Linked DNA regions of Macaca mulatta. The protein of the gene in region 6 binds, or shares a complex with, the protein of the main gene of each other region. Links are inferred from orthologs where the notes say so. Each region holds a gene or a part of one and is shown on either strand. Other genes may lie near its edges. The genes, in order: USP39, LSM7, PRPF4, LSM3, SNRNP40, LSM2 and SART1.

Evidence for each region.
Region 1: LSM2 (region 6) and USP39 share a complex: the UniProt entries of both Homo sapiens proteins name them as parts of the U4/U6-U5 tri-snRNP complex. The link is inferred for Macaca mulatta from reciprocal best matches to the Homo sapiens genes LSM2 and USP39.
Region 2: LSM2 (region 6) and LSM7 share a complex: the UniProt entries of both Homo sapiens proteins name them as parts of the precatalytic spliceosome. The link is inferred for Macaca mulatta from reciprocal best matches to the Homo sapiens genes LSM2 and LSM7.
Region 3: LSM2 (region 6) and PRPF4 share a complex: the UniProt entries of both Homo sapiens proteins name them as parts of the precatalytic spliceosome. The link is inferred for Macaca mulatta from reciprocal best matches to the Homo sapiens genes LSM2 and PRPF4.
Region 4: LSM2 (region 6) and LSM3 share a complex: the UniProt entries of both Homo sapiens proteins name them as parts of the precatalytic spliceosome. The link is inferred for Macaca mulatta from reciprocal best matches to the Homo sapiens genes LSM2 and LSM3.
Region 5: LSM2 (region 6) and SNRNP40 share a complex: the UniProt entries of both Homo sapiens proteins name them as parts of the U4/U6-U5 tri-snRNP complex. The link is inferred for Macaca mulatta from reciprocal best matches to the Homo sapiens genes LSM2 and SNRNP40.
Region 7: LSM2 (region 6) and SART1 share a complex: the UniProt entries of both Homo sapiens proteins name them as parts of the U4/U6-U5 tri-snRNP complex. The link is inferred for Macaca mulatta from reciprocal best matches to the Homo sapiens genes LSM2 and SART1.

Annotation. Positions count from the first base shown.
Region 1 is NC_133418.1:38,765,493-38,768,992, forward strand, and holds part of USP39 (ubiquitin carboxyl-terminal hydrolase 39), read right to left. Parts: intron 3,254-3,500; coding exon 3,101-3,253; intron 1-3,100.
Region 2 is NC_133424.1:3,075,559-3,079,538, forward strand, and holds the start of LSM7 (U6 snRNA-associated Sm-like protein LSm7), read right to left. Parts: upstream 2,801-3,980; 5' UTR 2,772-2,800; coding exon 2,766-2,771; intron 2,683-2,765; coding exon 2,592-2,682; intron 2,525-2,591; exon of another isoform or gene 1,436-2,524; intron 1,001-1,435; exon of another isoform or gene 917-1,000; intron 827-916; exon of another isoform or gene 405-826; intron 1-404. Other genes in the region: SPPL2B (signal peptide peptidase-like 2B), read left to right, coding at 2,925-2,990. UniProt on the Homo sapiens protein: Plays a role in pre-mRNA splicing as component of the U4/U6-U5 tri-snRNP complex that is involved in spliceosome assembly, and as component of the precatalytic spliceosome (spliceosome B complex).
Region 3 is NC_133420.1:45,029,425-45,032,924, reverse strand, and holds part of PRPF4 (U4/U6 small nuclear ribonucleoprotein Prp4), read left to right. Parts: intron 1-846; coding exon 847-934; intron 935-1,325; coding exon 1,326-1,405; intron 1,406-1,572; coding exon 1,573-1,666; intron 1,667-2,384; coding exon 2,385-2,479; intron 2,480-3,500. UniProt on the Homo sapiens protein: Plays a role in pre-mRNA splicing as component of the U4/U6-U5 tri-snRNP complex that is involved in spliceosome assembly, and as component of the precatalytic spliceosome (spliceosome B complex).
Region 4 is NC_133407.1:152,980,521-152,984,654, reverse strand, and holds the start of LSM3 (U6 snRNA-associated Sm-like protein LSm3), read right to left. Parts: upstream 2,801-4,134; 5' UTR 2,748-2,800; coding exon 2,727-2,747; intron 160-2,726; coding exon 49-159; intron 1-48. Other genes in the region: XPC (DNA repair protein complementing XP-C cells), read left to right, coding at 3,037-3,136. UniProt on the Homo sapiens protein: Plays a role in pre-mRNA splicing as component of the U4/U6-U5 tri-snRNP complex that is involved in spliceosome assembly, and as component of the precatalytic spliceosome (spliceosome B complex).
Region 5 is NC_133406.1:209,565,584-209,569,554, reverse strand, and holds the start of SNRNP40 (U5 small nuclear ribonucleoprotein 40 kDa protein), read right to left. Parts: upstream 2,801-3,971; 5' UTR 2,789-2,800; coding exon 2,648-2,788; intron 1-2,647. Other genes in the region: ZCCHC17 (zinc finger CCHC domain-containing protein 17), read left to right, coding at 3,119-3,238, 3,787-3,798. UniProt on the Homo sapiens protein: Required for pre-mRNA splicing as component of the activated spliceosome. Component of the U5 small nuclear ribonucleoprotein (snRNP) complex and the U4/U6-U5 tri-snRNP complex, building blocks of the spliceosome.
Region 6 is NC_133409.1:150,509,493-150,513,464, forward strand, and holds the start of LSM2 (U6 snRNA-associated Sm-like protein LSm2), read left to right. Parts: upstream 1-1,172; 5' UTR 1,173-1,382; coding exon 1,383-1,385; intron 1,386-1,994; coding exon 1,995-2,062; intron 2,063-3,972. UniProt on the Homo sapiens protein: Plays a role in pre-mRNA splicing as component of the U4/U6-U5 tri-snRNP complex that is involved in spliceosome assembly, and as component of the precatalytic spliceosome (spliceosome B complex).
Region 7 is NC_133419.1:8,451,985-8,455,484, forward strand, and holds part of SART1 (U4/U6.U5 tri-snRNP-associated protein 1), read right to left. Parts: intron 3,369-3,500; coding exon 3,242-3,368; intron 3,119-3,241; coding exon 3,013-3,118; intron 2,756-3,012; coding exon 2,678-2,755; intron 2,563-2,677; coding exon 2,463-2,562; intron 2,374-2,462; coding exon 2,231-2,373; intron 2,100-2,230; coding exon 1,893-2,099; intron 1,195-1,892; coding exon 1,070-1,194; intron 983-1,069; coding exon 867-982; intron 774-866; coding exon 631-773; intron 1-630. UniProt on the Homo sapiens protein: Plays a role in mRNA splicing as a component of the U4/U6-U5 tri-snRNP, one of the building blocks of the spliceosome. May also bind to DNA.

The DNA.
Region 1 (3,500 bases), on a different chromosome or scaffold from region 6:
CCTGACAAGCTGAGCCCAGCTAAAGAAACAAGGACTTCCAACTTGTAGAATAATTACTTCAAAGAGAGATTTACTCTCAAAACAAGAGGATGCATAAAGTTTATCCTAATTCTCAGTTGTCTATCTTATAGAGAAATGTTGCACTCTGGCTTCAGCAACAATACAAATAATATTGGACATCCTCAGAGAAGAATTATCCACCCTCCAGATGGATGACCTGGTCCAGTCAACCCTATTTTAGCGGAAACATCATCACACAGGGTTTGTTCATCCATTTATTTTTATAAAGAGACGTTCCTACATGAACTAAAATTCATCAGAAAGCCAAGACTAACAGCTCTGACCAAATCCAAATTCTATCTGTCCATCCTATAAGTTTTCACTCAGCGGGGCATGGTGGTTTACACCTGTAATCCCAGTACTTTGGGAGGCCGAGGGGAGCGGATCACGAGATCAGGAGATCGAGACCATCCTGGCTAACATGATGAAACCCCATCTCTACTAAAAATGCAAAAAATTAGCCAGGCGTGGTGGCACATACCTGTAGTCCCGGCTACTTGGGAGGCTAAGGCAGGAGAATCGCCTGAACCTGGGAGGCAGAGGTTGCAATGAGCTGGGATTGCGCCACTGCATTCCAGCCTGGGAGACAGAGCAAGACTCCATCTCAAAAAAAATTAGTTTTCACGCAGCCATGAGAGGATTTAAAGGGAACATCTGATGAAAAGTCTCTCTCTACCTAAGAATTTGACCTTTCCACAGACTAGGCATGACACCAAGAGCAGACACCAAATGTAAAAACTACGCCTTTACAGTTTTTTGTCCAATTCTTCATGACAAAAATATCACTTAGAAAAATTTAAAGGCCAAATAAGTACTAGCAGAAAACATTTGCAACATATCCAACAGAAAAGGGCATAACTTCATTATATATTTCTTAAAGCTCAGTAAGATGAACCAATAGGAAAGGAGTCTATAAGGTGCAATAACTCAAGAAAAAAATATAAATAATCAACTTTAGAAGTGAAGCAAGTTTGGGTGCAGTGACTCACACCAGTAATGCCTGTACTTCTCAAAGTCCTCAAAATTCTCCAACAGCCTCGAATTCCTGGGCTGACAGGATCCTCCCACCTCAGCCTCCCAAACAGCTAGGACCACAGGCATGCATGCACCACCGTGCCCAGCTAATTTTTTTTTTTAAACAGAGACACGGTCTCGCTATGTTGCCAGGCTGGTTTCAAACTACTGGCCTCAAGGGACCCTGCCACTTTGGCCTCCCCAAGAGCTGGGATTAGAGGCATGAGCCACCGTACCCAGCCCCTCACAATTTATACATTTTTTCCCCAGTAAGCCTGTGTTTACAATTACAATTTTTTAATCACGTTCTTGGTGAAGTAGAATTATTGTTTTCTTATTATACTTACCAACATTTAAAAATTGGCCGGGCGTGGTGGCTCACACCTGTAATTCCAGCACTTTGGGAGGCTGAGGCAGGTGGATCATGAGGTCAGGAGTTCAAGACCAGCCTGGCCAAGATGGTGAAACCCTGTCTCTACTAGAACTACAAAAATCAGCCAGGCGCAGTGGCAGGCGCCTGTAATCCCAGTTACTCAGGGGGCTGAAGCAGGAGAATCGCCTGAACCCGGGCAGCAGAGGTTGCAGTGAGCTGAGATCCCGCCACTACACTCCAGCCTGGACAACAGACTGAGACTCCGTCTCAAAAAAAAAAAGAAAAGAAAAGAAAATAGGACAACTTTGGTTTTCTGTCTTTTCCATTTCAGGGTTATGAGCATATGGGCAAGAGAAAGTCATTGATCAGCCAGCATGACAAACATCTACACCATTTAAAAAAAAAAAAATGCATCTGGCATGTTTCTTACTTGACACTGCAAGGCAACACAAACTTGGTCCCGCATTCCCTGGAAGTTACAAAGGCCATGAGCCAGAGGCATGAAAAAGCCTCACCAGCCGGGCGCGGTGGCTCAAGCCTGTAATCCCAGCACTTTGGGAGGCCGAGACGGGCGGATCACGAGGTCGGGAGATCGAGACCATCCTGGCTAACACGGTGAAACCCCGTCTCTACTAAAAAGTACAAAAAACTAGCCAGGCGAGGTGGCGGGCGCCTGTAGTCCCAGCTACTCGGGAGGCTGAGGCAGGAAAATGGCATGAACCCAGGAGGCGGAGCTTGCAGTGAGCTGAGATCCGGCCACTGCACTCCAGCCTGGGCGACAGAGTGAGACTCCGTCTCAAAAAAAAAAAAAAAAAAAAAAAAGAAAAAGAAAAAGCCTCACCATTTGACAGCAGCCCAGTGAGCAAAGGAATGCTCTGCCTGTTGCAGAACAATTACTCAAGTAGAGTCCTTAGCAAGACTTGGTGTCTGAGGATCATCTGACTATACTCTATAAGAAGGCAGTAATTTCTTTTTTGAGATGGAGGAGTTTCGCTCCTGTTGCCCAGGTTGGAGTGCAATGGCATGATATCGGCTCACTGCAACTTCCACCTCCCAGGTTCAAGCGATTCTCCTGCCTCAGCCTCCCGAGTAGTTGGGATTACAGGCATGCACCACCACACCCAGCTAATTTTGTATTTTTAGTAGAGATGGGGTTTCTCCATGTTGGCCACGCTGGTCTCCAACTCCTGACCTCAGGTGATCCTCCCACTTTGGCCTCCCAAAGTGCTGTGATTACAGGTATGAGCCACCACGCCCGGCCAAAGGCAGTAATTCCTTGGCCAGCATACATACTATTTCCTGTCCCTCTCTTTTTTATTTTTTCTTGAAACAGAGTCTCACTCTGTTCCCCAGGCTGGAGTGCAGTGGCACGATCTCGGGTCACTATAACCTCTGCCTGCCGGATTCAAGTTGATTCTCCCACCTCAGCCTGCCGAATAGGTGGGATTACAGGCTTGCACAACCATACCTGGCTAATTTTTATAATTTTAGTAGAGACAGGGTTCCGCCATGTTGGCCAGGCTGGCTGGAACTCCTGACCTCAGGCAATCCGCCCGCCTTGGCCTCCCAAAGTGCTGGGATTACAGGGGTGAGCCACTGTGCCCAGCCTTCTGGGTGTCCTTCTCTTCCTCAGTGTTCCCGTCTTGATCTTACCTGAAGAACGGCGTTGGCATAGTCATTAGCCTTTATGTTATTCAGTCCCACAATACCCGGCAGGTAAGTGGTACCATCATATGCCCGGGACAATTTGGCTTGCTTGTCCAAGTTTGCAATTTGCTGCTTTGTGAAAGTGGGCTTCAACACATACTGCAAAGCAAAAGAAAATGCTAAGTTGTTTAAGAGCTGAGTTCACAAGAAATGTCTACAAACAACAGCAATTTCTACAAAAACAAAGAACACTTTGGCCATGAACATCCCACCACACACAGAAAAAGTCCCAATCAGTAGGTGTAAAGATTGAAGTAACACAGGGTAGATCCTCTCCCATGGCTAATCTACAAGGGGATCTCTGTGTCTAACCCAAAATCACTGAATCCCAGGTCTTTTCATAGAC
Region 2 (3,980 bases), on a different chromosome or scaffold from region 6:
CTCGCCGCCTTAGGTCACAACTTGGCACCTTGGGTTAGGGCTCTCTGACCCGGTGGTGACCTCTGCCATCTGATCCTGCTCCGCAGTGTCTGGTGACACTGAGAAGGGTGAAGGGGGAGCTGCGTGTCCTCAGCAGAGGCCAGCCCACCCTCCCTGTCCGGGACTCCCGTCCTCTCCCCCCAGGCTCCTCCAGCCCAGGCCCAGGAGCGGTTCCGCCTCTGCGCTCACTGAGGGGCGTCCCACAGCCACCCGCTCCCTACCCTCCTTCTTACCCCTGTCATCTTTCAGGTGCTTCCTCCAGACACCAACCCACACCCCTTAGGGTGCTGCCCTCTGCATGCCCCCCACCAATCTCAGGAAGCAGGCACCCCAGGCATTATTCTGCCCGCCTATCTTCTCCCAAGGCAGGGCTGTGAGCCTGTCCATGGCCGTTCTGCGCTGCGAACTACGACCAGAGGCGAAAGTGGCCCACCGCTCATCTCTGTATGCCAAAGTTTCACTGGCCCACCAGCACACTCGCCCGCTCAGGCACTGACCAGGGCGGCTCTCCTGCTCTGCGGGCATAGCTCACTGGTTGTGACAAGAGACCATCTGGGCTGCAAAGCTGAAGATATTTGCTGTCTGGCCTTCTACAGAGAAGGTCTGCCCACCTGCATACAGGCTTTAGCTCCTACCTCCACGGCTCCCTCTCTCTGTGCTCAAGTCCCTCCCCTGCAAAATGAAACTTGTCACCTATGAGATGGGGTCAGACGCAGCGGTTCAGGTCCTTGGCACCAGCCTGACCAGTGAGCCAGCCCTCCTCACGGGGACAGATGTGAGCACTGAGGTAGGTAGGTCTCTAACCAAGGTTCCCCTCCCCGGGGTGTGGGCTCGGGCCTGTGACTCTGAGGGGACATGACGTCACTCCTGCACTTAGGTTATGCAGCTGTTTAAGCCCCTGAACCAGCTGACTTTGAGCCAATCTAGAGGGAAACACCCTGGGTGAGCCTGACCATATCAGGTGAGTCCTTCAGGGAGCAAACCCTTTCTCTGCTGTGTGTGTGCGTGTGTGTGATTTATTTATTTTTAGACGGAGTCTCGCTCTGTCTCCCAGACTGGAGTGCAGTGGCGCGATCTCAGCTCACTGCAACCTCTGCCTCCTGGGTTCAAGAGATTCTCCTGCCTCAGCCTCCTGAGTTGTTGGGATTACAGGTGTGCGCCACCACGCCCAGCTAATTTTTTTGTATTTTTCGTAGAGATGGGGTTTCACAAAACCCCATGTTGGTCAGGCTGGTCTCGATCTCCTGATCATATGATCCGCCTGCCTCAGTCTCCCAAAGTGCTGGGGTTACAGGCGTGAGTCCCTGCGCCCCGCCAAGAGCTGCAGCATGCATCACCAGCCCACTGCCCATGCGAATGCTTCCTGCCCTCTGAGAGCTCGCCCTGTCTTCACTAGATTCCATGGAAGAGTCGCAGGCAGAGGCAAGCATCAGGTTAACATGCACGAAACCGCAAACGGTGACAGGTGCCACCAGGATCCTAGAACGATGGGGGGCCTGACGCCAGGGTCAGGGAGGGCTTCCCAGAGCAAGCACCTGTGGAACTTGTGCTTTTGCCGCCCTTTGCAGTCATAATCAGAAGTATGGATTCGGATTTTACTCCAAAACAACGGGGAGCCTCAGAGCTTTTCAGCAGGGAGCAAGAAGCCTCCATTTCTTTTTCATTAGGTGCCTCTGGCCGCTGAGTGGAGACTGACCTTAGTAGCTGTGATTCCCAATCACAGCTTGGGGGTCGGGGGGCGATCCTATCCCCAGAGAACACTAAGCAATGTCTGAGGCTATTTAGGTTGTCACAACTTGGTGGAGGCCAGGGATGCTGCTCAGCACCCTGCAGTGCCCCAGGACGGCCCCACTCCAGAGAATCCGGCCCCAAATGTGTCCACACTGCTGTGCGGGAAAGACCTTGACTTAGAGGGAGGAAGAGGAGAAGCCGGGAGATCTGTGGGGATCTGGGGCAGTCCTTGGACACACAGGACTGCTCTGGAGGCCAAGCCGGAAATCCCAATACCGGCTGCGCCACTGTGACTTTGGGTTACGTTTGTTTCCCGCTCCTTGCCCCAGTTTCCCCGCCTGCAAAATGGCCATACCAGTTCCTACCTCCCGGCGTAATTCGGAAGCCTGCACAAGGTAGTCGGCGTCAAGCGTGTAAAGAGGCGCCTCTGCGGCGGCTCACGCCTGTCATCCCAGCACTTTGGGAGGCCGAGACGGGCGAATCACTTGAGGTCAGAAGTTTGAGACCAGCCTGGCCAACATGGTGAAACCCCGTCTCTACTAGAAATACAAAAATTAACCAGGAGTGGTGGCGCCTGTAGCCCCAGCCACGCAGGAGGCTGAGGCAGGAGAATCGCTTGAACCCGGGAGGCGGAGGTTGCAGTGAGCTGAGATCGCACCACTTGCACTCCAGACTGGGCGACGGAGCGAGACTGCGTCTCAAATAAATACATAAATAAAAATAAATAAAAGAGGCGCCTCTGCATGCATCCTCATCACCTCTCTTGCTGAGTTTATTTTAAAATTTTAAAGGGGGGGTGCCAACGGCGGGAGCCGCCTCACCTTCGCGTCCTCCCTGAAACTTCACCCGGATCGTCTTGTCGATGTACTTGGACAAGTCCAAGATGCTCTCCTTTTTCTTCTTCTCCTTATCCTGCGGGGAAAGCAGAGCGCATGAGGCCTGGAGCGCGGCCCGAGCCCCACGCCCCCCGGCTCCGGATTCCGCCGCGCGCTCACCGCCATCTTGTCGCGCCGTGCGGCTCTTCGCAGACACCGCCCCGTGCCCTGTGACCTCTCCCCTCCCCCCCCACGCGCATGCGCGGCGCATGCGTGGCCCGGGGTCTCGGGGCGTTGCTGGGAAACATCTGCCGACGGTTGCGGCGGGCACCGGCCGAGATGGCGGCGGTGGCGGCGGCTGCGCTGGCGCGGCTTGTGGCGGCCTTTCTGCTCCTCGCGGCCCAGGTGAGCGCGGCACCGGTCCCGACGGCACCGCAGGCTGCGGCCCTTCGGCCTCTCGGCCCCGAGGCTACGCGCAGGAACGACCCCTCTTGGCCCGTCTTGGGGGGTCGAGCCTCGGGGATCCGCGGTCCCCTCGTTGTCGGCCGGCGGTGCCGGGGCCCGGCCGTGACCTTGCGGGGCTGTCCCCGGCTTCTCTCCCTTCCCCGCCTCGGAGGCCCTCCGCCGCTGCAGCGCCCCTCACTTCCCACCGGGCCTGAAGTTTGTGCCCCCTCCATCTCCCGGTTCTGCTTGTCCGTTTCGGGGTCTCCAGCCGCCGCGGGGGACGCCTCTCTCCCGCTCTGTGGCCTTGGGCAGGCGGCCGCCCACCCCGCTCCGAGCCTCAGTTTCCCTTTAGGCGGAATGGCCGGGTGCTAAGCTAACCTCACCCTAGGGGGTGCGGTGGGGGAACCCAGAGGCGTCCCGCGTGTCCCCCAGTGACTGGCCAGCATCCTGGAGCGGCCAAGAGCCCAGCCCTGCACTGGGGTCGTATCCCCGCTCCATCTTTTACTCCGTGACCTTGGACGAGGGAATTCCCTGCTTTGAGCGTCGGTTGCTCGTCTGGAGAAGGGGGGTCGACTATGGTGTGGATTCTGGAGATGCTACCCAGGGTGACCAGCGCCTAGGGACAGCACGCCTTCCTTATATTCATTGTGTATCCTTTGATGTAGAGTGTCAGGTTCTAGCGGGGACAGTCTACGAGATGGCACTGTCGTAACTGCATCTTTTATTTTCTTAATTCCAAGTCTTCCCTCTTACCTGAGTTTGGTGGCTCAGGGAATGGAACCCGGAGCAGCCTCACAAATGCGGCCCTTAACCTTCACTCCTCTCTCAGAGTTCTCTTAAGGCGTTGCTGCCACTGGGCTCCTTCTTAGTCTCCACTCTTCCAGCCCCACCGCCATCCCCCTGCTGTGGCTGCCTTTGTCCCCCACATCCCTAGTCCATCCTCGACACAGC
Region 3 (3,500 bases), on a different chromosome or scaffold from region 6:
TGATCCTCTAAGCCTAGTTAGATCCCCCTTACAAAGTCCCCTCTAGCACTGTGTGCTTACTGCTGTCGTGATAGGTAATATAATATAGTTCGCCAGTACTCTCTGTCGTTTCCCCAGGACTAAGCTACTTGAAATCAAGAACGGATTCTTAGTCATCACTGTACAGTTAGCACCTGAGTCCGTATCCAGTACATTGTGGCACTGAGTGAAAGTTGGCAGTCTTCACAAACCAAGTGGTAGCAGTGTAGGGGCTCATTGACTCTAAACTGCATAGAGTAATTGCTTATAGTTGAATTTTGGGAATTTCCAAATAGAGAAGACTGAGTGGGAGAAACCACAGTGGGAGTTTAGCCATCCCCACTTGACTCTTTGAAGGTTGTTGGAGGGCTGGGCATAGTGGCTTATGCCCATAATCCCAGCACTTTGGGAGACTGAGGCAGGAGGATCACTTGAGCCCAGAAGTTCAAGACTTGCCTGAGCAACATAGCAAGACCTTGTCTCTGCAGAAAAATTTAAAAATTAGCCAGTTGTAGCATTATACCTGTAGTCCCAGCTACTCAGGAGGCTGGGGTGGAAGGATCGCTTGAGCCCAGGAGTTTGAGGCTGCAGTGACCCATGACCGTGCCGCTGCACTCCACCCTGGGCAACAACAAGACCTCATCTCTTGAAAAGAAAAAAAAAAAAAAGGTTGCTAGGTGGTTTGAACAGTAAGAGAATAGTAGAGGCTTGCTCCCATCTTAGGGGAGCTTTAAAAACAGTGTTTAAAACTGTGTTAAAGTGTACTTTAAAAACAGTGTTATGTCAACCATGTTTAAATTCTGATCTTTTTTTTTTTTTTTTTAACAGGTTAAGAAATATCCTCTCAGTCGTCGGTACTGATGCCTTGAAAAAGACCAAAAAGGATGATGAGAAGTCTAAGAAGTCCAAAGAAGAGGTAGAACATGTCTTTAACTTCACAGTGTAAACATGAAGGAAATGAGGAGATAGGTCTCTCATTTTCTGCTTTCAATGGTTTGCTTTGCTAAGATGATGGAGGGAAGTGTCTTTGAAGGCTCTACCATTCAAGAATAGTTGCTGGCAGTAGTTTTGGTTCCTTTGTAAGTATGAATGGAGCTAAGTGAGTTTTCCAGTCAGGAAAGAATCATAGCATTCCTGGTATAACCATCTATTTACATATCATAGAAAAAAAATACGGTAGAAAGCCATATGCCTGATTTCATACTATTACCAAACGAATTCACCTTCCTTCTGGGCAGTTAACATGGAGAAACGACAGGAGTAGAATGCTTCAGATTTGACCTTTCTGCTCTTAATTTGCCTTTCAGTATCAGCAGACCTGGTACCATGAAGGACCAAATAGCTTGAAGGTGGCAAGACTATGGATTGCTAATTATTCATTGCCCAGGTAAAGAGAGCCTCCAGTAGAAGAAAGAAGCATATTTTGTGTGTGTGTTTCAGGAACTGAGTGCTTGATAATGACTGTGGTTGTTAAATGAAATTGAGGGGTAGAGATACATGTGGACCCTTGTTTACAACCCTGTTGCTCCTGGTGATGGTGTTTCTGTGTCACAGGGCAATGAAACGCTTGGAAGAGGCCCGACTCCATAAGGAGATTCCTGAGACAACAAGGACCTCCCAGATGCAAGAGCTGCACAAGTCTCTCCGGGTAAGATGCTCCCAGTGATTGTCCCACGTCTTAAAGGTTCTTCATATTTGTGTGATTTTTCTACTTTGGCCCACCTCTGGGAAGGTAGAGGTGACTAGAGCGATCCCTCCCTGCTTGAGCTGAGCTGCTGTGACATGGAAGGAGCAATCAGTTAACGTGACAGGAGCTTGCTGTGCTTTGTACTCAGCAGAGGCCTATGGTTCTCTTCTTTATTTCTCCCTGTTAATACGTCAAAGTTTCTCTGGGGTTTTCTGTTTATATTTATCTGACTCAGAAGTTGTGATACTAAGACTATAGAAAACAGCTGGGTGCAGTGGCTCATGCCTGTAATCCCAGCACTTAGGGAGGCAGAGGTGGGTGGGTCACCTGAGCTCAGGAGTTTGAGACCAGCCTAGTCAACATGATGAAACCCTGTCTTTACTAAAAGTACAAAAATTTGCCAGATATGGTGTCATGCGCCTGTAATCCCAGGTACTTGGGAGGCTGAGATGGGAGGATCGCTTGAACCTGGGAGGCAGAGGTTGCAGTGAGCCAAGATCACACCACTACACTCCACTCTGGGCGACAGAGCAACACTCTGTCTCAAAACCACAGAAGAATCTTGGGATGGGTTAAAACTGAAAAGTTGCTTTGTTGTTCTTTTTTTGGTGGAAAAGCCAAGGAACTCAGATTAACCTATTAATGATCATCGTGTGTGTGTGTTTTTTTTCTTTTTAAGTCTTTGAATAATTTTTGCAGTCAGATTGGGGATGATCGGCCTATCTCCTACTGTCACTTTAGTCCCAATTCCAAGATGCTGGCCACAGCTTGTTGGTAAGTTCCATTTTACAGTGACATTTTTTCCTAAATGGGGAACAGGCTCAGGAAAATATTAGCATTTGTCTTAGACGTCTATTTGTACGTCCTCTTTCTCTGCTTCTCATGATCACACCAAACTACAGATATCAGTCAGTGCTCTACCTGTTGTATAATATGATGCAGACTTGGTTTAGCCGTTCTCAGTCTTCACCAGTGACCCCAGAGATTCATTACACTCTAGCACTCTGTCACATTCTTGACACTAGTATTTTGGAGCAGGTCATGTAGTGAGTTTACAGACCAACTAGTATCCATAACTCAGTCTGGCTTTTCTTTTTCAGTTATGTGATCTCCCTAAGATACTTAATCCCTGTCAGCTTCAGTGTCCTTATCTGTAAAGTGGGATGAGGTAGTGTTTGTAAAGCATTTTGCCTTGACAGTGCCTGGTATGTAGTAAGGGCTCATTAAATGTTAATTATTGGTTTATCTTTGTTTTATTTTCTTATCACCACATACGCAGAAAACTCAGGATGTGGTAACTTTGTTGTTTTGTTTGAGTTTGGTTGTTTGGTTTGGTTTGGTTTTTTTTTTTTGAGATGGAGTCTCACTTTGTCGCCGAGGCTGGAGTGCAGTGGCACAGTGTCCACTCACTGCAAGCTCCGCCTCCTGGGTTCACACCATTCTCCTGCCTCAGCTTCCTGAGTAGCTGAGACTACAGGTGCCTGCCACCATGCCTGACAAATTTTTTTTTTTTATTTTTTTTTTATTTTTTTTATTTTTAGTAGAGACAGGGTTTCACCATGTTAGCCAGGATGGTCTCCATCTCCTGACCTTGTGATCCACCCGCCTCGGCCTCCCAAATGGTTGTGTTTTTTTGTGAGACATGGCTAACTAAAGAGAAAGGAAACTTAGATTTAATACACAGGAGCTACTTGACTAGGCCGACCTTGAGACTGGTTTAGGAGAAAGCCAAGGGACTGCACAAATCAGTCCACCTCTCCAAGCCTCATTACCTTCACTGTAAAGTATAAATGAT
Region 4 (4,134 bases), on a different chromosome or scaffold from region 6:
GGGGTGGGAAGGAATCTGATTTCAAGGTAACTTGATAAATTTACTCACATGTAATCTGCCTCGAAGCTCTCGGTCATTTCTCATCTTCACATAAATTCGCTCATCTAGGCTGAGCCTGATAAGATCCAGGGGCTCCTCTACAGTGTTGGTAGTTTGTTGCTGATAACAGAAACAGGTTTAGTAATATAGTACTAGAGATAAAGTAGTGCTTAAATCACTGCTATGCTGTATGACCATGTGCAAGTTATTTAACCTTTTTCTGCCTCAGTCTCCTAATCTGTAAAATGGAGATAATAGTGTCTACCTAATACTGTTTTTATGAGGCTTAAGTGACATATATGAAGGCTTAGAACAGAACTTTTCACATAGTATGTGCTATATAAATGTAGATTAAAACACGCATACATAAGAAGGAGTTACACAGCAAAATAATCATGACTATACTTTGTTCCCTCAAAATCCAAACTGCCTGACCCGATTTCAGGGTATAGGGTCTTAGGAACTTTAGCTTTATCTCAAATATTATGTAATCATAGGAAAAACACTCACTTAATGCCTACCATATACTAGTCAGAATGCCAAGTAGAGGTGTAGGTTTATGGGAAGATTATGAATTCAGCACAGGTTGAGGTTAGGCTGCCAACTGGCCAGTAAGATGAATATTTAGTAGCCAGAATAGAACACTGGTTCAAAGCACTGGCTTAGCCGGGCATGGTGGCATGTGCCTGTAGTCCCAGCTACTCCGAGGCTGAGGTGGGAGGATTGCCTGAGCCTGGGAGGTGGAGGTTGCAGTGAGCCAAGATGGTGCCAACAAGCAAGCAAGCACTGACTTTGGAGTCAGGCAGTCTGGGTTCAACTCCTGGCTGTGACCTGACACTTATGAACTGAGATTAAAAATCATGCCATCTGTAATTCTCAGATTCTTCATTTGTAATTGAGAAAGCCACAACCTTCCTTCTGGATTCTTATGAGGATGAAACTAGTTAATGCATTTAAAACAGTGCCAGGAAAGCAGAAAATATTAATACTTAGAAACGGTTCCTTTTGGCTGGGCGTGGTGGCTCAGGCCTGAATTCCAGCACTTTGGGAGGCTGAGAAAGGCAGATCACCTGAGGTTAGGAGTTTGAGACCAGCCTGGCCAACATGGTGAACCCCGTCTCTACTAAAAATACAAAAATTAGCCAGGCGTGCTGGCACGTGCCTGTAGTCCCAGCTACTTGGGAGGCTGAGACAGGAGAATCGCTTGAACCAGGAGGCAGAGGTTGCAGTGAACTGAGATCACGCCACTGCACTCCAGCCTGGGCGATAGAGTGAGACTCCATCCAAAAAAAAAAAAAGAAAAGAAAAGATTCCTACTAATATTATATTATTAAAGAACTGCTGGAAACACTGGTTTTAGAGGTCAGGGCTAGGATGACTTGGGGTCACCCACATGGAAGGGAGGGTTGCAGCCATTAAAGAGTTAGATGATTCAAGGAGAGCTTCTTTAGTAAGTACACAAGGCCAGTGGAGGAAGGTAACTGAATTCGTAACAGGCGCTAAAGATTCAAAAGGCCCGATGAGAGAAAAAAAAATAACCTAACTCAACTGGTCCCTATGTCCCTCAGTTCAACAGGTGTTTGTTAAAGGATCAGATAACCAACTGTTAGATTACAATGATACAGAAGTCACAATCTCCACCCTCAAGGAGCTCATTCTAATGTGGATAGGCATATGAATAATTATAATACTGTAAGAATATGCACATGACAGAGCTCTACTGCTACCTAAGCCTCTGTCTGGGATGCCCACTTTCTGTTCTTTTTCATCCTGTAGCTTTATACATTGGCTTTTAAAAGAGGCCTCCTCTGATCATCTAACTCATTCACTCAAATATTTGTTGAGTATTTCCAGCACTGTTCTAAACCCCAAGGACAAAAGAATGAACAAAACAAAATGCCTACTGTTATGGCACTTACATTCTAGTCAGGAGAGATACACATTAAACAAAGATGCATACATTTAATATGAAAAAATAACGTTCTATGAAGAAAAATGAGGCAGGGTAAGCAGAGTAGGGGGAGTGCTATTTGGGCAGAAGTCCTCTCTGAGGAGGTGAGATTTCAGTAGAAAGTTTAAGTTGTAGCATGATCTCCAAAGATATTTGAGGAAGAAAAAGACCAGGTGAAAAAGCTTCTAGGACCATCTGTTATTCTGCATACCAGTTCCTTGTTTCCTTCATAGCACATCACAGTTCCTATAAATCTTACATATTTATATTTATCTGTTCTCCTCGCGAATATAAGCTCCAAGTCATGGCAAGGATCACTTATATATCGATGTCAGTGTCCCTGGCTCTTAGAACAGTGTCTAACCATACAAAGCTGATGTTCACTCTCTCTGCTGAATGAGTAAATAATTGTTGTGCTCAGTAATAACAACTCCTAACTTTATTATCTGGCTTTCTATTGGAATCCTGACAGCTCCGTGAGGTAGGCACGCATAATAATTTACAGATTTAAAAAAACAAAGCGAAGAGTGTGATGAATAGTCATCAGGTGGCCTTCTAACGGAAAAGACCTCAGGGCCTGCAGCAAAATTCGGACAGGGGTGTTTACGGAAAGGATGGGGCGGATTAGGCCGTGTGACTTGGAAAGAAGAGGCGCGACTGGCCATTTTTCCTGCGTTTGGAAAAAGCAGTTTAGTACAAGAAGCGGCGCCGAGCCACCGCCTTAAAATTCACTCACCTGGTCTACGTCGTCCGCCATGTTTCAAACCCTGCGCCCTTTCCCGCCTCTCGCGAGAACACAAGAGCAACGCCGAGCTCCGGAAACGTGATGCTACAATACACCGGAAATAGAAACCTGCTGTGCTCTTGCCTGCTTCCCGCGGTTTTTTAGTGGCCACGGGTATGGGGCGGAGCTTCCTTTGGGGGCGTGACTAGGCCTCCAACGAAGGGGCGTGGCCAGACGCGCCCGCCTCGGGGCGGGGCCTGCGTTCTAACGCATCGCGGCCTGGTGCGTCACTCGCGAAGTGGATTTTTCCCCGACAAGCAATATGGCTCGGAAGCGCGCGGCCGGCGGGGAGCCGCGGGGACGCGAAACGCGCAGCCAGAAGTCCAAGGCCAAGAGCAAGACCCGGCGTGAGGAGGAGGAGGGTGAGAGCGTGGCCCAGCGGGCTTCGCGGGAGACTCTGCCGGTGGGCGGAGGAGGCCCAGAGGCAGGGGCGGCGGGAGTCCAGACGCGGAGGCCGGGAGGAGGTTGCTGCGCGCGTTCCGCGCAGTGGGGGCAGCACGGCAGGCCGCGGCCGGCCCTCCCCGCTGTCCCTGCGCCTTTGTCCTCTGCACCCAGAGCGGCTTCCCGTGAGCCTCGCCCGACCCAAGCTCCTGCGTAGCTTCTTTCCCGCTCCCCGTTGTCCAGAGGATACAGCGCAGATGTTCAGGGTTGAACGCGGAGAAGGCAGTTATTTGTGTCCCAGGAAAACGGACGGACGGACCAGGACGTAGAGTGATGCAGTGTGCTGACTCCCGAATGATAACTTCAGCTGAGTCTCGCCCAGAGTTCCACAGTGGGATCCCACCTGACTTCCCCTCGTGGATATTGGATAGGCTTCTTACATTTGTCGTGGACAGTGCAGAGCTCATGGTCTTCCCCTTCAAATCTATGCTTTCCTCCGTTTTTCCAGTCCCAATACTTGTTATAAAACAAAGTCCACCTTTTTCTTATGTGCACACATCCAGTCCCGTCAGCAAGTCCAGTCAGTTCAGCCTCAGACTGTATTTCAAATTTGTCCACTTCTCTTCATTTCCATGGCCACAACCCCTGTCCAAGTCACCATCACCTTTCAGTTGAGTGACTGCAGTTTCCTCTTGACTGGCCTCCCAGCTCTGCATCCAGCAACGCAAATAATCTTTAAAAAAAAAAAAAAAAATCATGCCATGCTCCTGCTTTAAACTCTCCTTGGTTTTCCATTGCTCTTAGTTTAAAATCCAGTTGTCTTATCCTGGCCTGCAAGATGCTACGTGTTTTGGCTCTTGCTACCTCTCCTGTTTCTCCTACCACTTGTTTCCTTGCCAGATACCCTCCTCATTGGCCTCCTTTCTCTTCCTCAAATATGCCAAGTTATTTCTTGAGCCTTTTCCTTTGATATTCCTTC
Region 5 (3,971 bases), on a different chromosome or scaffold from region 6:
GACACAGTCTTGCTCTGTCACCCAGGTTGGCATGCAGTGGCGTGATCTCGGCTCACTGCAACCTCTGCTTTCTGGGTTCAAGGGATCTGGTGCCTCAGCCTCCCGAGCAGCCAAGATTACAGGCATGCACAACCATGCCCAGCTAGTTTTTGCATTTTTAGTAGAGATGGGGTTTCACCATGTTGGCCAGGCTGGTCTCAAACTCCCAGCCTCAAGTGATCTGCCTGCCTTGGCCTCCCAGAGTGCTGAGATTACAGGCATGAGCCACTGCGCATGGCCTATTTTTCTTTCTTATTTTTTTCATAGCGAAGGGATCCTCAGCACGGGTGAAGTAGTTTTGATTATGGTCTTGGACACTAAGATGACACTTGGGCAATTCATCTAAACATGGGCTGATATGCTCACTTGTCAAATGGGAGAAGTATACTACCCATAATCCCCAAATCTCTTCAGCACTTTCCAGCACATTCTTACTTATTTATTTATTGGGAAGGAGTCTTGCTCTGTTGCCCAGGCTGGAGTACAATGGCATGATCTCATCTCATTGCAAACTCCGCCTCCTGGGTTCAGGCGATTCTCCTGCATCAGCCTCCTGAGTGGCTGGGATTACAGGTGCCCGCCACCAAGCCCCGCCACATTCATTTAGTTTTAAAAAATGTTATGTGCAGGCTGGGCACGGTGGCTCACACCTGTAATCCCAGCACTTGGGGAGGCTGAGGTGGGCAGATCACTTGAGGTTAAGAGTTTGAGACCAGCCTGACCAACATGGTGAAACCCCATCTGTACTTAAAAAAACACAAAAACTAGCCAGGCGTGGTGGTGGGCGCCTGTAATTCCAGCCACTCGGGAGGCTGAGGCAGGAGAATCGCTTGAACCCGGGAGGCGGAGGTTGTAGTGCGCTGAGATCGCGCCATTCCACTCCAGCCTGGGTGACAAAAGCAAAATCCCATCTTAAAAATAAAAAGTTATGTGCTAGGCACTGGGCAAACAGCTATGAACAAAATAAACAATGGAGCTTGCTGTTCCAGTGGGAAAGGGGGAAGGGAGGAGAGAAGGTGAGAGAAAACAAGCAAAATATATACTTGGTGTCATGTGCTATAGAAAAAAAGAAGGGATGGGCAAGGTGGCTCATGCCTGTAATCTCAGCACTTTGGGAGGCCAAGGTGTGCAGATTGCTTGAGCTCAGGAGTGAAATCCTGTCTCTACAAAAAAATACAATACAATTAGGTGTGGTGGTCTGTGTCTGTGGTCCCAGCTATTCAGGAGGCTGAGGCAGAAGGATTACTTGATCCCTGGTGGCGGAGGATGCAGCGAGCCAGTGGTCAACACAGAGAGATTCTATCTCAAAAGAAAAAAGAGAGAGAGAGAGAGAGAGAGAGAGAGAGAGAGAGAGAGAGAGAAGCAATGTGGGTTCCACATTATGTGGTACTGCAATTTAAAACAGGGTGGTCAGGAAAACCCTCACTGAAAAAATTATATTTGGGCAAATATTCGCAGGAGCTGAATAATAAACCATGTGAACATTTGGGAAGAGCAATCCCATAGGGAGGACAGCAAATGCAAAGGTCCAGAGGCAGAGGTTTGGAAGAGAGTGTAACTGAAGCCGGGTGAGCAATGAGAAATTGGTCAGAGAGGTAAAGGGAAAGAGGACAAATAATTATAAGAATTTTGGTTTTTACTCTGGATGAAGTAGAAAGCCACCAGAAAGTTTTCTGCAGAATGTAATGTGATCCGTTGTTTAGAAGGATTCCTTTGGTTATTGGCTTGGTAACAGGTGCTGCTACAAAGGCAGAAAGTGGAAGACCAGTTAGGGTCCCACTACAAAAATGCCAGATGAGATAATAACGGCTTAGGCCATGAGGCAGTGATGGAAATGGTAGAAGTAGCAATTCTAGATCTATTTTGAGAACGGTGCCAGCAGGATTTATTGAGGAGATGAGAGGACACTCGTATTTCCTCGTCTGAGCCTAAACAGGGCATTAGAAGTGTGATCACTATTTCCATCTTACAAAAAATATAGTTAGGAGCATGGTTTCTCAGTTCAACATCTGTTTCTATCACGTGCTTGATAAGTCTGCTTTTCCATCTGCAAAATGGGTTAATAACGTTCCTAACAGGCTGCTACCAAGATCAATGGAAATTTCATATACGAAACACCTTAGTACAAGAGTCAACGAATGTTAGCTGCTATTCAGTTGTTAATAATACTAGTGCAGAGAAATAAAGGGAAAAGCAACTTGCCCAAAGTCCCAAAACGAGCCAACACCAATCATTTCCCTCTTTTCCTCCCTCCCTCATTCATTCATTCTACAAAGTCTTCGGAATTTCTGTTCTACGCTAGATCCATGTTAGAGTCAGGATGCTTAAGCCCGGGTCCGGGTTGTGAGCCCAAGGTTCTCAACGCTAATTCTAACGCTACCTCACAAGGCAGTCGAGAGGCTGAAAACCAGCGCCAAACGGGCGAACAAGTACTGAGCATCCGCAGGCTATGAGGCGCTTTTACAATGTTGGTGTGCTTTAACTCTAGGTAGAAACTCTCGTTCTGCCCCCCGCAATGCGGGAAGGGTCGGTGCCGGGTCACCAGATACAGCGCTCTGAGGGGAGGAAGATGAGCTGAGGGCCAAAGGCCGCCTGCTTCTTCACTTACCGCTTGCAGCAAAGCTCCCGGCGTCGCCTGCTGCTGCCCGGCTCCCGGGCCCGACCCCGCTCCCAGTAGCAACTCATGCCGCTGCCGCTTGACTGGAACCAGCGGCAACTCTGGGCCCTTACGCTTCTGTTGTTCTATCATGGCGGCAACCGGTCTCTTCAGCGCCGCCACTGACCGCGCTGCCCCCCTCAGGCGCCACGCAATTGGTTCCAGCTTAGTCCTTCCTCCACAACTTCCAGCTTGGAAGAACCAATCGGTTTTCAATATACCCATTTGCACTGCCCTCGGATAGTCTCTTGTTATTGGGCATATCTTTCTGACGTCATGAGAGTGCGATTCCAGGATTGGTGGACGGAGCTGGCGACCTCCCTAGGCGCGCTGGGTCTTGTGGGTGGAAACGCGCTGGCTGACTGGGCTCGGCGTTTAGTTCAGCGCCGGGACTCGGGGGCCTGGAGCTGACGCCTAGTACGTATGAGGAAGAGCTGGGTGGGTGGCAGCCTGAGTCTGAAGGCGACGCCTCGGTTGTGCAGTCTGAAGCTGCCCTTCTCAGCTGAGGGTGCCGATAGCAAGGGGTGGGAGGCGGGGCCCCGAGTCCCCAGCTGTGGTAAGTAGTAGCATGGGCTCCCTTTCCGGGCGGGAGCGGAGCCTTGGGGGTCTCTGGCGGCAAGACCCAGTCCCTGCGGCTCCCTTCTTCAAGAGCGCCCGTCGTGGCCAGTCCTGTGCCGGGCATTCCCAGGGAGAAAGGCCTGTGTCCCAACTTCCTCCGGCGCCCCGTTTGGCCGAGGAGGCTGACTTGTTTCTGCCACTGATTTTGCAGTTTTTGATTAGGGCCTAGTCTCTGCCCCCCTGAGAGAGACAATGATGAAGGAAATGTCCGACTCCTTCTCCAGAGCGCAGTCTTGTTGAGAAATTTGAGACTCATGCCCATGAACGTGGTCATTGCGTCAGTCGTCCAGCTGATATTTATTTAGCAGCGCGTTGGGGGTACGTCGTGAACCAGACACGGTCCCTACTCTCAGGGCGTTTAAGTCTGGTGGGGAAAACGTTAAACAATGACCTCACTAATACATGGAAATGCCTCCTAGTGCTGTTTGATGCTGAGTGCCTGAAATAAGCAGGAAGGTTTTTCAGAGGAAAAGATGCCTGCTCTGGTAGCTGCAGGAAGAATTGTAATTAATTAAGTGAAGAGGTAAAGGCAGAACCTTCCGTAGAGAACTACTTGTTCAGAGCCCTGAGGCACTTGGGAGGAAAAATGACTAAAAGCACAAAGAGCCAGTGTGACTGATACAAAGAGAATGAAGGGGAGTATGGTACAAGATGAAGC
Region 6 (3,972 bases):
TTTCACTGTTGTTGCCCAGGCTGGAGTACAATGGCACGATCTCCACTCACTGCAACTTATACCTCCCGGGTTTACAGGCGCGTGCCACCACACCTGGCTAATTTTTGGGTTTTTAGTAGAGACAGGATTTCGCCATGTTGGCCAGGCTGGTCTAGAACTCCTGACCTCAGGTGATCCATTTGCCTTGGCCTCCCAAAGTGCGGGATTATAGGCGTCAGCCACTGCGCCCGGTCAATTTTTTTTTTTTTTTTTTTTTTTAAGACGGAGTCTCTCTCTGTCACCCAGGCTGGAGTGCGGTGGCCGGATCTCAGCTCACTGCAAGCTCCGCCTCCCGGGTTCACGCCATTCTCCTGCCTCAGCCTCCCGAGTAGCTGGGACTACAGGCACCCGCCACCTCGCCCGGCTAGTTTTTTGTATTTTTTAGTAGAGACGGGGTTTCACCGTGTTAGCCAGGATGGTCTCGATCTCCTGACCTCGTGATCCGCCCGTCTCGGCCTCCCAAAGTGCTGGGATTACAGGCGTGAGCCACCGCGCCCGGCCAATTTTTTTTTTTTTTTTGAGACGAGTCTCGCTCTGTCGCCCAGGCTGCAGTGCAGTGGCATGATCTTGGCTCCCTGCAACCTCCACCTCCCGGGTTCACGCAATTCTCCTTCCTCAGCCTCCCGAGTAGCTGGGATTACAGGCGCCCGCGACCACGCCTGGCTAATTTTTTTTGTATTTTTAGTGAAGACGGGACTTCACCATGTTGGCTAGCCTGGTCTCGAACTCCTGACCTCACACAATCCATCCACCTTGGCCTCTCAGAGTGCTGGGATTGAAGGCGTGAGCCACCGCCCTCGGCCTTTTTTTTTTTTATCAGCTGAATTTAAGATTAAAAACATTTTTTAATTTTATTTTTTGAATTTTATGTTTTTACTTTAACAAATATAGAAAAGTGCACACTTCATAATCTTCACAAACTCCCCACAATTCTCGATAGGATGTGTGTAGAGGGCACGAACACATCACGCTGTGGACGGCAGGGTTATGGAAAACAAAACCTTTTGAGCTCAGACGCCGAGTGCCTCCACCCGCCTAGCAGCCCAGGCTAGGGTCCGCGCCTGCGCAATGGGAGCCGGCCGGCCCTGGAAGAAGTCGGAACGAAGGAAACCCCGCCCCTTTCCCGGCTTCCTCCTCCCCTCGGTTTTACCCAGCTTGCGCTCCCCAGCCGCAAGTCGGCCGCGCTTTACCCTTCAGCGCTTGGAGGGTTCTGCGTCCCTTCCCGCTGCGCCTGCGCGGTCCCGCCTCGCCCCACGCGCGGGCTCGCGCTTCGGTTCTCCCAGACCTGGTCTCAGCATCCGGCTCTTTTCTCGCTCCGGCCCGCTGCCCGCTGCGCCAGCACCATGGTGGGTACCGTGACGTCAAAAGGGGTCGCCCTCGGGGATCTCGGACGGTTGGGGCAGGGGGGTCTGGCCTTTGTCCCCCTAGGCTGGAGTTAGGTCCGGAGTTTTTATCTTCATCGTTAGTCCTGTTCCTCAAGTTCGTTGAGGAGACACCTGAGAGCAAATGGGATTTTTTTTTTCCATGATGAGGAAAAAAACCCCAACCCTGAGAGAGATTCAGTGGGGACAGCGGGAGACGGAAAAGTTAGACCTTAGAGCACTTCTCTGCCAGGCAAGCTTCGGCAGGGTGCGGGTGGGATGTTTTCTGTAATTCATTGAAAGGAGTGGGCAGGTACCCGAGAAAGGTGGTCGATTGAGAGAGCACACTGGGGAGGCCGAGGTATGCAGGGCAGAGCCTCTCTGGGACTTTAAGTGATGGGCTCAATGCAGTGTGCAGAATAATTTGGGCTCCAGCCTTTCACCTCTCAACCAATTATTCTTTCCTGTGAAATTTTGAGAACTGTTAGGGATGCAATGGGGTTCACAATACCGGTATTTGGTAATACTGTCAAGGGACACTCCTCCCTACCATGTTCCTTCCCACATGATGGTTTTCCCCCTCTCTCCCAATAGCTCTTCTATTCTTTTTTCAAGTCCCTTGTGGGCAAGGATGTGGTCGTGGAACTCAAGAATGACCTGAGGTAGGTACCTGTTCCAACAAGTCTGTTGGGGGTGGGTGTGCCCAGGGCCCTGGAACCTCTTTAATTTGAGAAATATTTGAGGGCTGGGTGAGGTGGAATATGTACAGAAGAAATAAATGGCCGGGTGCGGTGGCTCACGCCTGTAATCTCAGCACTTTGGGAGGCTGAGGTGGGCGGATCACGAGGTCAGGAGATCAAGACCATCCTGGCTAACACGGTGAAACCCTGTCTCTACTAAAAATACAAAAAATTAGCCAGGCATGGTGGCAGGCCCCTGTAGTCCCAGCTACTTTGGAGGCTGAGGCAGGAGAATGGCGTGAACCTGGGAGGCAGAGCTTGCAGTGAGCCCAGATCACGCCACTGCACTCCAGCCTGGGTGACAGAGCGAGGCTCTGTCTCAAACAAACAAAAGAAATAAATGGGTGGGGTGCAGTGGCTCACGCCTGTAATCCGAGCACTTTGGGAGACTGAGGAGGGAGGATTGCTTGAGCCCAGGAGTTTGAGGCTGCAGTGAGCAGTGATTACTCCATTGCACTCTAGCCAGGGCAATAGAGCAAGACCCCATCTCTAAGACAAATTTTAAAATTTAACAATAAATAAATGCCTTGTGCCTTAAATTTACAGATAAGCTTGGGGATTGTATTGTGTATTGGAAAACAATACAAAGCAATATACAGTTTAAAGAGTAAATACTGGTCAGGTGTGGTGGCTCATGGGCTGGACGTGTGGCTCATGCCTGTAATCCCAGCACTTTGGGAGGCCGAGGTGGGTGAATCACGAGGTCAGGAGTTCAAGACCAGTCTGGCCAAGATGGTGAAACCCCGTCTCTACTAAAAATACAAAAATTAGCCAGGCATGGTGGCAGGTGCCTGTAATCCCAGCTACTTGGGAGGCTGAGGCAGGAAAATCGCTTGAACCTGGGTGGCAGAGGTTGCAGTGAGCTGAGATTACACCACTGCACTCCAGCCTGGGTGACAGAGTGAGACTCTGTCTCAAAAAAAATAAATAAAGAGTAAGTACTAGGCTGGCCATGGTGGCTCACACCTGTAATCTCAGCACTTTGGGAGGCTGAGGCAGGAGGATCACTTGAGTCCAGGATGTCGAGACTAGCCTGGGCAACATAGAACCATTTCTATAAAAGATTAGCCAGATGTGGTTTACATGCCTGTAGTCCCAGCTATTCGGGAGACTGAGGTGGGAGGATCACTTGAACCCAGGAGGTCGAGGCTGCAGTGAGCCATGATTGTACCACTTTACTCCAGCCTGGGTGACAGAGGAAGACTGTCTCAAAAAAGAACAGGCCAGGCCAGGCGCAGTGGCTCACGCCTGTAATCCCAGCACTTTCGGAGGCCGAGGTGGGCGGATCACGAGGTCAGGAGATTGAGACCATCCTGCCTAACATGGTGAAACCCCATCTCTACTAAAAATACAAAAAATTAGCCTGGTGTGGTGGCGGGCGCCTGTAGTTCCAGCTACTTGGGAGGCTGAGGCAGGAGAATGGCATGAACCCAGGAGGTGGAGCTTGCAGTGAGCCAAGATGGCACCACTGCACTCCAGCCTGGGCGACCAGAGCGAGACTCCATCTCAAAAAAATAAACAAAAAAACAGAACAGGCCATAGGCTGGGCATGGTGGCTCATGCCTGTAATCCCAGCACTTTGGGAGGCTGAGGTGGGTGGATCACAAGGTCAAGAGATTGAGACCAGCCTGGCCAACATGGTGAAACCTACGTATTAGATATGCTACTGTGTATCTAATACCTAGTATAGGCCAGTTGTATGATAGGTGCTTAAGGAAAGAAAAATAATATCTGAAGACCTATTGACTAAGCACTATTCTGAATACATTTATTGATTGATTTCTCAAACACTCCTTAGTAATATGTACTATTGCTGTTATACATATGAGGAA
Region 7 (3,500 bases), on a different chromosome or scaffold from region 6:
AGCCACTTCCCTGAGTCCAGGGCCCCGTGGCTGTCCTGTTCACCAATGACCTTCTCGGCCCAAGAACAATGCACTACCCACAGCAGGCACTCAACAAACATGCACAGGAAGAGACAGGCCAGGAAAGGATCCCCTACTAAAGCAGGCATCTAAAAACTTTTGCAAAACATGACTTTTAAACAGAAAACATGACTTTAACCAGGGCTGGTCGCAGTGGCTCACACCTGTAATCTTAGCATTTTTGGAGGCCGAGGCAGGCAGATCATGAGGTCAGGAGTTGGAGACCAGCCTGGCCAACACGGTGAAACCCCGTCTCTACTAAAAATACAAAAATTAGCCGGGTGTGGTGGCAGGTGCCTGTAATCCCAGCCACTCAGGAGGCTAAGGAATGAGAATCACTTGAACCAGGGAGGCGGAGGCTGCAGTGAGCCGAGGCCACGCCATTGCACTCCAGCCTGGGCGACAGAGCAAAACACTTGTCTCAAAAAAAAACAAAACCCAGAAAACAAAAAACAAATGGAAAAGAGGCTTCAGACAGGAATGTGGCTGTTGCCTATGACACATGTGCTCGTGAGGACAGGTGACTGCTGACGCACTGGTAGCCCCAGGCCTGCCCATGCCCAGCCTCACCTTCTCGCCACTGTCTCGCAGCTGCTGCAGCTGCTGTAACTGTCGCAGCCGGCGTCCCTTCTCCAGCTGCTTCTGCAGCTCCAGCTCTGCCTCGTCCTCCTCCAGCACCTGCGGGGACCCCGGCTGTGGAGCTCCACCTTCCTCTGGGGGATACACAGGGGATGCCTGCTCAGACAATCTCCTCCAACCCAGGGCTCCTGTCCCTGCCCCCTCCCACCCCCTGGCCAGGCCCTCACCCTCATCACTGATGTCCATGTTCTCCACTCGGGTGTCATCCGACGGCAGGGGCTGAGGCACGGGCTCCTTCTCCTCCTCCACCTCAGACACTCGGCGGCGACCCCGTCCCCGCAGTCTGAGGGAAGGAGGCCTCTCTGGTGAGCACCGGCCCCCGGGACACCCCAGCCCAGCCCTCTCACCCCACCATGGTGTCCAAGCCCACCTGGAACCAAAGTCCCCATCCTGAGTCTGGTCCCCGAGAGGCAACAGGTCATCCGCCCGCACTACGACCTCCTTCTCCTTCTTGCGGATTTTCCTCACCCTCCGCTTGGTCCTTCTAAAGGCCACCTGAGGGGAAGAGGGAGGCGTGGGGCGGGGCGGGGAAAGGCAGGCCACCACAAGCCCGCGAGGATGAACACTTCTTTGGTGTTCTTCTGTGCTAGCCAGTGTCCTGAGCACTTCTCACACATGAGCAACACGTGGGGTGGTTACTATCTCCCTTCCACTGGTGATTAGGGAAACTGGGGCACAGAGAGGTTAAGTACCTTCCCCAAGGTCGCCCAGCTCCTAGGTGGGAAAGCCGGGCAGTCTGGCTCCAGAGTCCTGCTCTTACCCACTGAGCAAGACGCCTACTACACCAGCTGACTACCTCACGTTCACACAGTCACTCTGCGGACAGAATCCACGCACACCTTTCCAGTCACCCCTCAGCCACACTGTCACTCATCCTCACAGCAACCTCAGGAGGTGGCTCCTATCACTGCCACTCCAGATGGGGCACCCCAGGCTCACAGTTAAATGGCTTACCCAAGGCACAAGCTGGCAGTATGGCAGAGCAGAAACACCAACTGGGGCCCATCTGGCTCAGCAGCCCTGACCCGTCAACACCTGGTGCCTCCCCAGGTTGCCATTTACTGCTTGCCCACGAGGCCAAGCGCTTTGTGAACAGAAATACTTGCCCTCTCTTCCCAGTGCCTGCGGGCAGCGCAGGAGCCCCAAGGGGAGGGAGAATCATGACCCCAAGTACAAGGCGCAAGAGGGCTCACCATCTCCTCGGGTGTGAGGTACTCGGAGGCCAGCCGGGGCCCCACCGTGCTCAGGGACTGAGCCTGCAGCCGCAGCTTGGCCCGGATCTCCTCCAACTCCCGTTCCCGCAGGCCATCGGCCATGCCCCCCTGCTCCAAGCGGAAGGAATGCGGCTGCTCCCCCTCAAGCTCTTCGTCGTACTTGGACAGGATAGAGCGAGGTTTTTGCTACAAGGTAAGAGGTACAGGTTGGGACCCAGGGTGGCTCCTGAAAAGCCACTGAGCCACCACCTCCTCAGAGCCCCTATTCCCGACATTCTCCACCCCAGCCCCCGCCGCCCAGCCTGCTTGGGCCGTGCCTGCGCCAGGTCGTCCACACTCTCGTCCTCGGCATAAGGCAGGTAGTCGGGCTTCTTCTTCCGCAGCTCCACATTCTTCTCTGCCCGCTCCTTATCCACCAGGTTCACGTTCACCAGCACGTCCTCCTCCTCCTGCAGCACGCCTGCGGGCAGCACAGAGCAGTGGCCATTCACACTTGTCCACAACTCAGCAGAGGCTGTGCCCCGACCCAAGGCACCCAGCTCGCGTCACCTTTGTCCTTAAGGGTGAGGATCATGGTCTCCCCTTCTCGGAAGGAATCAATGGCATGCTCCACGGTGAGGCCCTGCAGGTCCCGGGCACTGTACAGGTCCTAACAGAAGAATCAGGCGAGTAAAGAACCTCCCTCCATGCGCCCAACCTTGGGATTCCAGCATCAAGGCCGCCAGTGTGCCCTGCACCACCCACCCCGGCTGCTGCAGCCTCACCTGCCGTCTCTGCCCGAACTCCTCCTCTACCAGAGTGCTGACACCAAACTCTTGGTCCATCTCCTCCAGTAACTTTGCCTATGGGACAGGGAGGGGTGACCTAGGACCTCAGGCCACTCAGCACCACCAGAAAACACTCAGGGCTCTACCAAGCGGAGTGCAAAAAGAGCAGGCCTTGCAGGAAAGTTGCTGAGAATCCAAAGCGGATGCTACCAACCACAGCCCATCCCCTCTCCGAACCCCGTCTCAACTCTCTGGGGTCCACCCCCTGCCTCAATGCCCAGTCAGGCCAGCAAAAGCACTGGGCAACCACCCCATGCTGCCCAGGTGCTCACCCTCTTCTCTGCCAGGTCTTTCTCCTTCTGCAGCTGCCGGCTCCTCTCGATCCAGGCTGCAGTGTCGTCCAGCCAGGGATCATCCTCTCCTAGGGTCTTTATCTTCCTGAAGAGGGGAGAAAGTGATGCTCCAGGAGCCCAGCTCCTGCTCCCAACCCCACTCAAAAGGCAGCCAAGGATGGTGGCCTCCCCAGCCCTTCCCTTGCCTGCCCTGGCCAGGACCCCTCACCCCAGCTTTTGGTTCAGCAGGCGCTTCTCCTTGGCAGCCGCCAGCTTCTCCCGCAGCTCCTCTCGCTGTCGCAAGGCCATAGGATTGATGACATCGGCTGTCACGGGCTCCTCCTTGGTGCCCGCCTCTGGAAGGGGGGCCCAGACGTGAGGCTATGCCCGCCCATGGCTGGTGGGGAGAGGAGGGAGCCACTCACCCTGCCCCCTTCCAGCTCAGGGGGCCAGAAGGGGTCAGGACAGGAAGGAACAATCCTTCACCT